Linked DNA regions of Solanum lycopersicum. The main gene of each other region encodes a partner of the protein of the gene in region 3 in a complex. Links are inferred from orthologs where the notes say so. Each region holds a gene or a part of one and is shown on either strand. Other genes may lie near its edges. The genes, in order: mitotic spindle checkpoint protein MAD2, mitotic spindle checkpoint protein BUBR1 and mitotic spindle checkpoint protein MAD1.

Region 1 (3,893 bases), on a different chromosome or scaffold from region 3:
ATATTAATGTACACATAATTATATACATATAGAGTTTATAGTTATATACAACCATATACATATAGAGTTTATAGTTATATACAACCATAAATAGTTCTTATTTATACAAATAGTTTATATGTGTAACGTATATAATTGAAAATATTAATTAATTGTATAAATATTCGATTTACATATTGACATATACTTTTTATCGTTTTCATAGGGATTTATTTTCATTTGCAAATAACCACGAAAATACGCCCCCCACATGCAGTGGTATACATATACAACTCATACATATAACATTACTCGATTTTTTTAACCAACAATTAGAATAGAATTGTTAATATACAATTTGTTTATATTTTTATGACCAAATATAACTACTTGCAATTTTAAAAATTTCAATTATATACTATGCAAATCAATCTTATTCTTTTTCACACTTTAAAACATGAAGTTTTCTTAAAAGAAAAATATACAAGAATATTGACGAACCATGAATTTTTCATTTTATATTTGCTTTTGTGGTACGAGGATAACAATTGTTATGATGTTTGTATTGTTATAGAACTCTTTTTGAAAAAATATTTGATTTGAAAGATTAACTTGAATCATGGGATTATGCAAGTATTTTGTTACCTTATTACCGTTCATGTATCCATTTATTAAGTAGAATATTACATAAATTATGAAAAATTGCACAAGTACCCTCCTATACTATGTCTGAAATCACAGAGAAACACCTTAACTAAATAAGGTCCTATTACCTCCACCCCCTCCCCTTACACTTATTTTTTGTAACTTTGTGCACCTTTTTAGCTTACGTGACATTCAAATATCTCGTACGTGTCTCAATCGCGTGGAGCCACGAAGTGTGCCACATAAGACAAAAAGTGCTCAAAATTACAAAAAAAAAAGTTCAGGGGTAATAGGAAGTTAATTTAATTAAGGTGTGTCTCTAGAATTCCAGTTATAGTCTGGGGATACTTATGCATTTTCCTCATAAATTATAAACAAAAAAAACTTAATATGCAAATTAAATGCTCCATAGCAAACTAAATTATACTCGTAAAATATAATTATATAAGACAAAAAGTGCTCAAAATTACAAAAAAAAAAGTTCAGGGATAATAGGAAGTTAATTTAGTTAAGGTGTGTCTCTAGAATTTCAGTTATAGTCTGGGGATACTTATGTATTTTCCTTATAAATTATAAACAAAAAAAACTTAATATGCAAATTAAATGCTCCATAGCAAACTAAATTATACTCATAAGATATAATTATATAAACTATACTTATATAAGTTATAAATTTTCAGTGTGGCCCAATTTTTGCACTAAACCCATCTGACCGTTGTTTTGTGTCATTTCCAAAAACTAGCCGTTGCTTCTTCCACTATGTTTCTCAATTCTCATAAAAACCCTAAATTCATCTCTGATTCTCTCACAAGCAATCAATCTCCATAACCATTTTTCTACTTCTATTTCCTAATCTGAAAATGGCGTCAAGAACAGCCTCCAAAGACATAATCACACTTCGTGGTTCCGCCGCAATCGTCAGTGAATATTTTGGCTATGCTGCAAACAGGTAACAACTCGGAATTCCTGTTTTTTTCATATCAAATTTTGGTTATGTAGACTTGCACGTTGTTCACATAGTGATCGGATCTCAGATTTAGATAGATTTCACAAAACCCCTAAATTTGCTTTGAAAATTAATTATCAACCTGAAATTCAGCCCAATGAAATTGGGTTTGAGCAGATTAGTAATGAAATTGGATTGAATAGATTTCATCAATCGATACGTTGTTGATTTTCCGATTGATTGAATAAAATGCTTTGTGTTCTTCGTTTATTTACCTGCATTGGACTAAAATGGGCTACAATAGAGCGGATGAATTGATTTATCTGACTGATTCCAATTAGTTTTACGTTGGCCATCGGCCATTGTTGATTGATTAATTCCTTTTATGTTCGTTGTTTATGGTTTTGTCTGAATGCTGATTTTTTTTTTTTGAATTTGTGCGGGGATTATGTATTTAGCATTTTGTACAACAGAGGAGTATATCCTGAAGAAAGTTTTAAGAAAGTGAAGAAATATGGTCTCACAATGTTGCTTACTGAAGATGAAGGTGTCAAGACCTTTGTTTCCAACTTGACTGCCCAACTTGCTGGTAAGTTGTAGAATTTTGACGAGGCTGTAGATTGGTTCAGATCATATATTAGGTAGTGAAATGATTGTTTTCTTAACGATTTTGTTCATGTAGAGTGGTTGGAAACTGGAAAGCTACAAAGGGTGGTTCTTGTCATCATGAGTAAGGCCTCTGGTGAGGTATTAGAAAGGTGGAATTTCAGTATCGAAACTGATAGTGAGGTTGTCCAGAAAGGGTAAGATGTTAATCATCTTTGGTTAATAATTGTGGATTGAAAGAAGTGTATGTTGGAGTTATTATGGCAGAAGACCTATAATTTCGTTCGTGTGCTTAAATAGTCCAGAGCCAAATACTCAACCCTGGCTTGCTTTTGATGTCTTCGTATGTTGGATTGTTTGTTAAATAATTAGCTAAATGGTTTATTTGATTTTCCAGTGTTTCAAGAGAGAAAAGTGATAAAGAAATAATGAGGGAAATTCAAGCGATTATGAGGCAAATAGCGTCCAGCATCACTTATTTGCCGTGCCTTGAGGAACCATGTAAGCATCATTTGTGCTTGGATGTTACGATACAATGGCAATGTTGCTTTTTTGGGATGTTTCTTGATGAGATTTCTTGTTTCATTTGTGTGTATGGCTGTAGGTGTGTTTGATGTGTTAGCATACACTGATATGGATGTTGCAGTTCCATTCACTTGGATTGAGAGTGACCCTAAACTGATTGCGAATCCACAAATGGTGAAACTGCACTCTTTTGACACTAAGGTAGGAGCAATTTGCTGCTTGATTCTGATACGAATCCCCTGGATATTTCGGTGACCCTAACTCGAGTTTTGTTTTCTCTATGCAGATTCATAAGGTTGACACATTGGTTTCATATAAGAATGATGATGAATGGGATGAGTCCTAGACCATGGATCCTTGTTGTACCTTACTTTTGTTGTCATTGTGAATCATTGATTCACATTTTGTATGTTAGATTGTGTAAACCTTGAAACATCTATTAGTTTGTATCCTGAATGAGTATTGAAGGAAATTGAACAATTAGATCAATTTCTCCGTGTGAACATGTTTTTTGCCTTGTGAAATATATTTGGGTACTTTTTTACACGTCCTTGTTGTCTACACATTGCCATAGCACATAATAATGTTGTTTGCGTCGGCTTGGATTTATACGCAACTCAAATTATGTTGAAATTTTGGTTTTTTTCTTTCTTCCGTCTCCCCCAACTACGCAGGCAATTTCTTGAACGGAGAAAATAAATACTTTTTTTGACTTTTGAAATTTGCCTTCAACATTCTCTAAAAAAGAGAGGTAACGGGGGAAGAAGATCAGTGTGCCTTTTTTATTCTTACATACAAAGTTATCATGCCGTTAAAAATAAATAATCAATTAATGTCATGATCTTTTTGTCGAAGTTAACGGATTGCACATAAATTATAGTGTTTTTAGTCTAATAAAATAAGAAAGTAATAAAAAAATTTGGATCCTCATGAATCGGGAAATTTGAACCCGACGTGAATCGAACACGCAACCTTCTGATCTGGAGTCAGACGCGCTACCATTGCGCCACGGATCCTTGGATGGCTAAAGTCTTCCATTTTTGATAGTCATTACATCTCTGTATTATTTTGGGAAGTGGATGAAATAATAACAATAAGAAGAAGAAGAAGAAGAAATAAATCTTTGATGTTATTTTTTTAGTTTTATTTCTGAAATATTTATTATCAGCACAATTGTTTTTTCTTTAAGGAT
Region 2 (4,352 bases), on a different chromosome or scaffold from region 3:
TATTTTTAGTTTTTACATGTTATAAGAGTGATAGAACATTATTTATTAAGATAATTTCTTTTAAGCTACTAAAATATTTAAAATAATAAATAAAAATGGTTTAATAAAAATAATAAAATTTCTTACCAATTTCCCAGTTGACCTCTTAAAAATAATTTTTAGGCCAACTACATAAACAAATCCCTAAACTTGTTGGGTTTTTCCCCTCATGTACCTCAACTACGTCATTTTTCAATTGAATCATTCAACCACCCATAATTTGTTTCTTTAAAACACTGTTGGTTGATTTTGATCAGCTTTTCTATTGTAAATGTCTTCAATTGTGTTCGAATTGTAATAATTTTGATTGAAGGAATGAAGACTAACTGTGTTAGTCTCATTTGTTTTCTAATGTGTTCAAATGACTCAAGTAAAACATAATTATTCTCAAACATTTTCACTTTCAATTGGACTAATTATTTGTGGAACAACATATGTATCCTCTATCAATACCCCTCACAAATCTGATTTCACATCAGACAACAGTGTTTGATTAAACAGAACAAATTATGGGAGTTCAATTATTCAATAGGAAAATGACGTAGTTAAGGTACCTGAGGAAAAAAACCTAACAAGTTTAGGGATCTGCTTCTGTATTTGGCCTAAATTTTAAATTACTATCCTATTAAATTAATACAACTTAATGAAAAGATAAATTTATTTTTATGAATTTTATCTTAGTATCAAATATAATTAGAAAAAGAAAATATTAAAAAAATTATGGGAGGCAGGTTGAAAATGAAAAGAGTTGTCATGCAGGGCGCGGCGAGGCGCGGCAGATTAAAATTTTTGCGGGTTAAGCTCAACCCGCAACACCCCACCCTACACCACCGCATTGCCATCTCTAATGTATTTTTAATAACTTAATCTTTGTATTTTTTAAAAAATAAATGTTTGAAATTATAAATTTGTATTATTTTTATAATTAACCACTAGTCAATAAATAATATTGATTAATTATTATTTTAACGAAAAAGACTCATAAATATTCATAAACTATCTGAAATAACTCATATTTACGTTTAAACTATATTTCAGTTCAAAACTATCCTTCCCATAATACTATTGGGTCAAAAATATATTTCTTATTAACGGAATTTGTTAAATGTCATGTGGATGTCACATTCCATGTCAATTTGGTTCTACTGCCACATAGAATAAATGGAAAAGGGGTAAAAAATACCCTTAAACTATTCGAAATAGCTCATATTTATCCTTAAACTATATTTCGGCTCAAAACTATCATTCCCGTCAAACTATTAGATTAAAAATATCTTCTTATTGATGAAAATTGTTAAATATTATGTGAATATCAGATTGATTGCAAATAAGATTTCATTGTCACATAAACTAAATCTCTAAATTTGAATTAAATTGAATTAAATATTTTACTAATAGGTCATATTATTAATTTCCGGGTAAATTCCAACGGTCTAAATTCGATGTACTTGGCCCACTTTGTTGTTTGTAGTAGCGCACTCGTTAAAAAACATTACTTATCTTATATTCAATCATGGTGGGACCAATAATATTGCGAAAATCTGGAATTTAAAGGAGGGTCCAACGGCTATGAAAGGAAGGGTTTAGGGCACAAAACAATTTCAAATTTGAAAGAAGGCTCTCAAAAAAACACCACCACAAGGAAGCAGCAAGAAGAAGAAATGGAGAAGGTAGGAGGAGATTACGTATTGGATAAGGAGGCAGAGTTCTTAGCGTCGAAGCAAGAGACTGGTCACGAGTGGGAACTCTTCAAGGAAAATGTCAGACCTTTGAAGAGAGGACGCAACGTTAATCTTCTCAATAATGCTCTTAAGTCTAGTACCGATTATCAACTCAAGAAATCTCTTCTTGACAAACGAAGGTTCCTCTATTTCTTCTTCTTTGCATTTTCATGACATTTACTCCTGAGGTTGGTCCAAAATGCAATTACTATTCCATCCCGCACTAGATTTTGATTAAGATGTACACGCTAGTTGTAGAATAGTAGCAGTTGCTGCATCCCTTATTAATTTTTGAATTCAACTCTTTCTGATTAGGGAATTTATTGAAGCAATTGACAAGTACAAAGGTGAAGATCCTCTTCACCCATGGCTCCAGTGAGTGCTCTTCTTTTCAGATGCAAATAATTTTTCAACTCTTATATCTTCTACTAGCATTTAATGAGTCAATCTCTGTTATTGAATAAACTGCTGACATAATTTTACATTAAAATTGTGAAGGTGCATCAAGTGGGTGCAAGAGGCTTTCCCTCCCGGTGGGGACAGTTCTGGACTTATAGTTATTTATGAACAATGTGTCCGCACCTTTTGGCACGATGAACTATATAAGAATGACCTCCGTTACTTGAAAGTGTGGCTGGAATATGTGAGTTTGATTTCTCCACATCCATTCTTTTGCCCCTAAATCTTCTCATCATGCAATTTGGTAAATCAGTTTTCTTATTGATGGCTCTTTGCAGGCTGAAAATTGTATGGATGCTGAAGTCATTTATAGCTTTCTGGAGGCTAACAAAATTGGACTGACACATTCTTCATTCTACATAGCCTATGCTTTGCACATGGAATCTCAAAATAAAATTAAAACAGCAAACGAGATCTTCAATCGGGGGCTATCTATGTAAGTTGTGTTTCCATTGAGCCTTGGTTTAATTTTAGCCGTAAAGTTAGGTTCTTGCATAGTTAACATTGTGTTTCACTTCACACTAGGCAAGTGAACACGTCTTGGTTCCAGAGAAGTTATGCTATATGTTGTCTATGATGTGAGATGCATCATTCAAATGGTTTATTGAATTGCTGTCTGATATTTTTGTTCAAATAGCGTTTGATATGTCAAGTCTAATGATGTCTACGAAAGTTGCATTAATTGTATGCTAGTATTGAGTAATGTGTGGGGGCTGGGGGGGGGGGGGGGAGGGGATTTATGTTTGAAGCTTCGCCAAAATGAGTTCAGTGTTAAGTATGAAGCTGCACGGATAAGTATGTGGTGTCCCCTTCATATTGACCTACTAATTTTCATACCTTGAATACTAAGACAATTTCATTTGATAAGCTCAGAGGTCAGAACTGTGGTAGATTACATTGCTTACGGTCCCTTATTTTATGTTCTTTCAATATATGCTCATGTGACCGAATAATAAACTAAAGGCCGTGATCGTATGACAGTGGTATGCTTCTAGAAAACTTTATAATTATTAATTGCCATATGATGAACATATTTGATATCCTTATTAAGGAAATTTTGTATAAGCCGAGTAATATGATTATGAAGAACTACATGTATCTTTTTGAATTATGAAATGATTGGTTCCTTTATAGGCATCAATTGAATCAGATAGTACCATGTCACACAATTATGTTAAGCATTTGTACAGGATGAACAACAGAGACGTTATCATTGAGAAATTTGTGCTCTGGAATTAATCATTTATTTAGCTAATATAGATATTTCAGGTATGGCAGCATGCAAAATAGCCAGTGCCACTGTTCATTGAACTTTGCTTAATTACACAACCTAATCATGTTGTTTGTAACTTGTATAGCATGATTTTCTACTAAGAGCATTTCATGCCTTCAAAACAGCAAGTCTCTGTATGTGTTTCTAATAAAATGCTCTAGCTATCAACTGTTGACATAAGAATATATTGAAATATTTATTTCTTGTTCACATTTGCCTCATTCTTGAGGGACCTTTTATATTCTCTCTCTACTTGTTTTAACTTCTGATGGGGATGTGAATGCTATGATGCTGGCCAAACTTGCTGGCAGAATAATGCTACAGCAAGGTGAAAATTCTAATATATTTGGCATGATATTATTGTGGATGCTCAATTGGTTTTAGATATTACCTGACACCTAAATACCTTTGGGGGTAGTTTGGTTGTTGGATAGAGTTGTGCAGGTATTAGTTATGTAGGGTTCAATTATTTACGTATTACTAATTCATGTATTAGTTATACCATCTTCAAAGCTGCATAAAATAATACATAGATTGACGCCTAACTAGTACATGTTTTAGTTATGTGAGATTGTAAACCGTAAGCAAAAAACCATACTTGATGTGCTGAGTTTTATACATAGCAACTAAAATGCTGCCAAAAATGGTACTAGTTTATGCAGATTTTAATATATGAATAATCTAACCAACAACTAAACGACCCCTTGGGCTGCCTCAACAAGATTGTGGATGCTCTTTTTTCAAGCTTTCTTAGCCACTAATGAGTCTTTTCCATTAGAGATACAGTTAATACAAGTACAGAACACTGATTACACCAAGTAACCTTCCTCCTGCTTGTTCTCATCCACTTATAAGCCTAT
Region 3 (4,193 bases):
ACATTATTAGTCACAAATCAGTGTCATTATCATTATAACTTGAAAATTATGGTCCCTGCTACTTTTTATTTCAGTTGGAAAGAAAAAAAATGTAATAAAGTTTAAGATGCAGTCTAATCAGATTAAGATAGTGTCTGACTCGCTTCTTACAGAGTCCATGTTCAGTCTTGGTTGGTTCCAAGACTTTTGCAGGGTAAATGCGATGACTCCAGTTGTTTTGGAGCACAGAGTGCAAAAATTGGCTTGGTTTCAAGATGTAGAATCTAAGAAGGATCTCATTTGATATATATTCAAAGTGATTTATAAGTGGAAACTGCTTATTATCCTCAACAACAACATACCCAATATAGTCCCACAAGTGGGTTTCCTCTCCAGATCACTTATACACGGGCTATTCAGAGGAAGGGGTTGAGTGTTTTCAATATGATTTTTTTCTTGTATTTGTTCAATGAGAAATGCTAATTTGTTTCGTCCCCTTACGTCATCCCCCTCTATCAAAATGATCGAAAAGGAAAGCGAGATTGCTTCTTATTCCCATTTGATCTCTTCCATCTGTGTGTCTAAGAATTCCTTGTCAAAAAGAGAGTGTAGTCTCTTCCTAGGCATAAATTATCACACTTACCAAACCAAATTGCCTTAAAGTTAAGTTCAATTTACAGATTAGACCAAATTATTGATGAACTCATACAGCAGCTTAAAAACATGCCAGCCAAAGAGAACCCATTAATTCTTCTCAAGAATGTGACATAAATATAATGAGAAATGACAATTAACATCTAGCACCTCAAGTTCATTGTACAACTGCAACTGTTTTCTGAGCCGTTCATGAGAAACGTTGACCTCCTTCATTAGCTGGTCCTGCAGAGCCTCTTCACGCCCTTTAGCAGCAGCTAGTTCTTGCTCTGCATTGAGAAATTGATCACGAAATTTCTTCCTTTCAGCATCTGCACGTGTAATTCATGTCATCATGCAAATTAATCAATAAGTATTGGAGTATACTTTGCAGAAAAGGTGAATTACAAACCAAATAGTCATTATCCCTCCAGTGGAGTAAAGGGTCAGTGGTGAACAGAGAGAAAAAAATACAAAGGAAATTAACAAAAGAAAAATAAAAGGCATGACAGTTGCTACAAAGGAGTCAACACATGATTAAGGAGACAAAAGATATGAAGACAAATAATATCACTCCAATATGTGTATGAATGGATGTATGTTTGTGTGTATCTATATATGTATGCCTGTATCCATTTATGTAAACACGTGTGTGTATGTTGGAAAGTTACTTCAGTGAAGTTGCCAGTTCTCACATATAAATTTTGAAATAAAGAAGACAGCCTTTTAACAATTGAAATCAGGGGAGCAATTGAACTGTACAAACAAGATTAGCTTAGCCAAGGAACAATTGTAGTGTGCTCTATAGATGTCTCTATCAAAGAATCTTCATTCTCTGGTGTAAAAGTGCATTAAATTGAGCAGTAGAAGGTAAACTTTTAAAAAAGTTTGTTGAAAGGACAAGGAGAAACAAAATCATGTACCCAGTCTATCATAATTCACAGAATTGGATATTTATCACTCACCAGCTTTAAGATAATCATTGTTTAGTGCTTCAAGTTTCGATTGGTTATCACGAGCTTGCTTTTCTGCACTGCTTAAGGCATCAAAAAACTCTGACTTCACCTGATAACAGAATTTGTTTTATATAGATATAAGCAAACTCGTGCAGGCTATCACAAGAACTGAGTACAATAAATAGACAGGGAGCCGTTGATCGGTCATTGGCCAATATAAGAGACACAAGAATGTTAACTTAAAGGAATATATTATTTAACTCAGAGGTCTTCCATCATCTTCTGTGACGCTATCCAAATGTGCTAACCAAGATTAGCTCAATTTGAGTCCATTTAAGATGCAATTATAAGTTGTTCTTTAGTGAAGTAAGTACATTTGTGTTATCAAAAAAGATGAAGTAGATTGTGTTAATGGAGGGCATAAAACACCTGTATGCAAGTAGTATACAGAAAACTAGCAAACAATGTTCTAATTAATTTATATAAAAAAATCTTGCTTGTGATTAGTTCATTGTGAAGAAGCTCAGCCTCAAGTTGACTCAAGAATCAACTACGAATTGGTATACACATCTAAGAGCAAATTCTATCAACATATGAATAAACTTTGAATATAAAGCTCATCAAGGAATCAACCCAAGTTCGAAAAACCATTCTCTTAACATGGATTAATTAGCACTCCAGTAGCAATAAAATCACAGACATGTTTAGTCTGGGAAAATCTCATTAGGTGGACAAAGCGAAAAAACTGAAACAGTCAAGGGAATGGGTGCACCTACTATCTTCATCTCAAGATATATACATAAATAGTTGCAATTTCCACTACCACATAAGAAGAAAAATAGGTATAAGCCTCACTATGTCTGCAGTCACTGATTTAAAACCTTGAATTTACTAAAAAATCAATTCAATACTGGAATTGTAATGAAGAGAGTGGGAATTAATGAATGAATACCATTTGGCGGCATTGATAAGTGCAGAGCATTTGTTCGGAAGATTCTGGGTGATGGTGAGATGATTCCGGCAACGGTGTATCCTCGAAGATGACAAGCTGCTGATTGCCGGAGCTGGGACTTCCATCTTCCGGTTGATTGCTCTGCGCCTTTCGCTTGAATGGTGGTGTTCTCAGGATCATAATACTAGGGTTTTGATAACTTCTACAGTAATTGAATCAAGCTCCGATGATGGCGATTGATGAAAATGTAAGAGGCGAAGCAGCTACTGCAAGTGTTTCGAAAACTGAGGCGCCAATTGGTGAATCGGACCCAAATAATCCGTCGCCAGAGATGACCCGAATCCCTTTGGGCTACTGCTACACTTGTTTGGGTCATTCCCACAAATGTCCTTATTTTGGGCCTCTCACTAATTTTTGCTCTTCAAAATAGGAGTAATATTTAATATCTTTATTTTTGAGTAACACTCACGTGTAACAAACATAAAATTCATATTGGCTTATTATAGGCTTACAGCTATAGTTTGCATAATTAAGATCCATAGCAAATATAAATATGTATATTTCGTTATACATATACAAAAAAAAAACAGATGTATAATTTGCTATACACATACAAACAAAACAGTTGTTAATTCGTTATACATATACAAAAGAAAACAGTTGTATACAAAAGATCAATTATATAATTGGTGTATGTATAAAACGAGAAATGGAGAAAAGCAAAAAAAGCTGGGTAGGAAAATATTTATATTGTATAATTATAAGTGTATATACATTTACACGTGTATATACAATTTTCTATCGCTTTATACAAACAGAAACGTAATTTATACATTTCGTTTCTGTTTGTATAAGGAGAGAGGCGAGCGAGATCTGGGAGAGTGGCGAGCGAGATATGGGAGAGTGGAGAGCGAGATATGGAAGAGGAGAGAGAGGAAAACGAAAATATACGTATATATACAATTTCCTGGCGATTTATACAAACACAAACGCATTTTATACATTTGTGTTTGTATAAAAAGCAAGAGAGGTGAGTGAGACTGCCACCAAACGAGAGTGGCGAGCGAGATCCACCAAGTAAAGAGGCGAAAATAACAATAGTTTGCTATAGGGCACAATTAAATCGAAGCTTGTTTACAACATTTAATTTGAATTAATAACTTGCTATTTTATACAATTTCCTTTATTTTTTAGAGCGTAAAAAATGAAAAACGAGATATAAGTTCAGTTAAAGCTATATCCTAGAACAATAATTTAGTAACACAAATTATGATCCCAAGACCCCATTAAAAAAAAAAACTCAAAGACACAAGTTATGCTTCAGTGGCTCAAATTAGAAATCCAAATATCAGATATTATAAAATTTATACTTCAATCTAAACACTCTCTAAAAAAATTTGCCTTTGTGATATTAGTTTTGCCCAACAAATTTAGGTCACAATTTAAAGTACTTATTAGGTCCACAAATTTTCATTAAATAGACAATAAAGGCAAAAATTAAAGACCATAAATTTAATGGACAAAAAATTAATATCATCCCAAAACAAAGGTATTCTATGCAAAAACTTTAACTTGTTGTAAGCATAAGATAATTAACCACTAAAAATAAGCACATGAGACTAACTAATAAAACAAGTGCTTAAAAACTTTTTTTTTTTATTTACTTGTACACT

Evidence for each region.
Region 1: mitotic spindle checkpoint protein MAD1 (region 3) and mitotic spindle checkpoint protein MAD2 share a complex: the UniProt entries of both Arabidopsis thaliana proteins name them as parts of the mitotic checkpoint complex. The link is inferred for Solanum lycopersicum from reciprocal best matches to the Arabidopsis thaliana genes MAD1 and MAD2.
Region 2: mitotic spindle checkpoint protein MAD1 (region 3) and mitotic spindle checkpoint protein BUBR1 share a complex: the UniProt entries of both Arabidopsis thaliana proteins name them as parts of the mitotic checkpoint complex. The link is inferred for Solanum lycopersicum from reciprocal best matches to the Arabidopsis thaliana genes MAD1 and BUBR1.

The regions. Positions count from the first base shown.
Region 1 is NC_090804.1:8,537,727-8,541,619, reverse strand, and holds mitotic spindle checkpoint protein MAD2, read left to right. Parts: upstream 1-1,302; 5' UTR 1,303-1,484; coding exon 1,485-1,573; intron 1,574-2,028; coding exon 2,029-2,159; intron 2,160-2,252; coding exon 2,253-2,373; intron 2,374-2,573; coding exon 2,574-2,677; intron 2,678-2,780; coding exon 2,781-2,902; intron 2,903-2,987; coding exon 2,988-3,047; 3' UTR 3,048-3,247; downstream 3,248-3,893. UniProt on the Arabidopsis thaliana protein: Required for the execution of the mitotic checkpoint which monitors the process of kinetochore-spindle attachment and delays the onset of anaphase when this process is not complete.
Region 2 is NC_090803.1:68,279,435-68,283,786, reverse strand, and holds the start of mitotic spindle checkpoint protein BUBR1, read left to right. Parts: upstream 1-1,509; 5' UTR 1,510-1,700; coding exon 1,701-1,900; intron 1,901-2,075; coding exon 2,076-2,135; intron 2,136-2,258; coding exon 2,259-2,403; intron 2,404-2,497; coding exon 2,498-2,655; intron 2,656-4,352. UniProt on the Arabidopsis thaliana protein: Essential component of the mitotic checkpoint. Required for normal mitosis progression. The mitotic checkpoint delays anaphase until all chromosomes are properly attached to the mitotic spindle.
Region 3 is NC_090800.1:87,722,365-87,726,557, forward strand, and holds the start of mitotic spindle checkpoint protein MAD1, read right to left. Parts: upstream 2,944-4,193; 5' UTR 2,701-2,943; coding exon 2,521-2,700; intron 1,678-2,520; coding exon 1,578-1,677; intron 945-1,577; coding exon 784-944; intron 1-783. UniProt on the Arabidopsis thaliana protein: Required for the execution of the mitotic checkpoint which monitors the process of kinetochore-spindle attachment and delays the onset of anaphase when this process is not complete.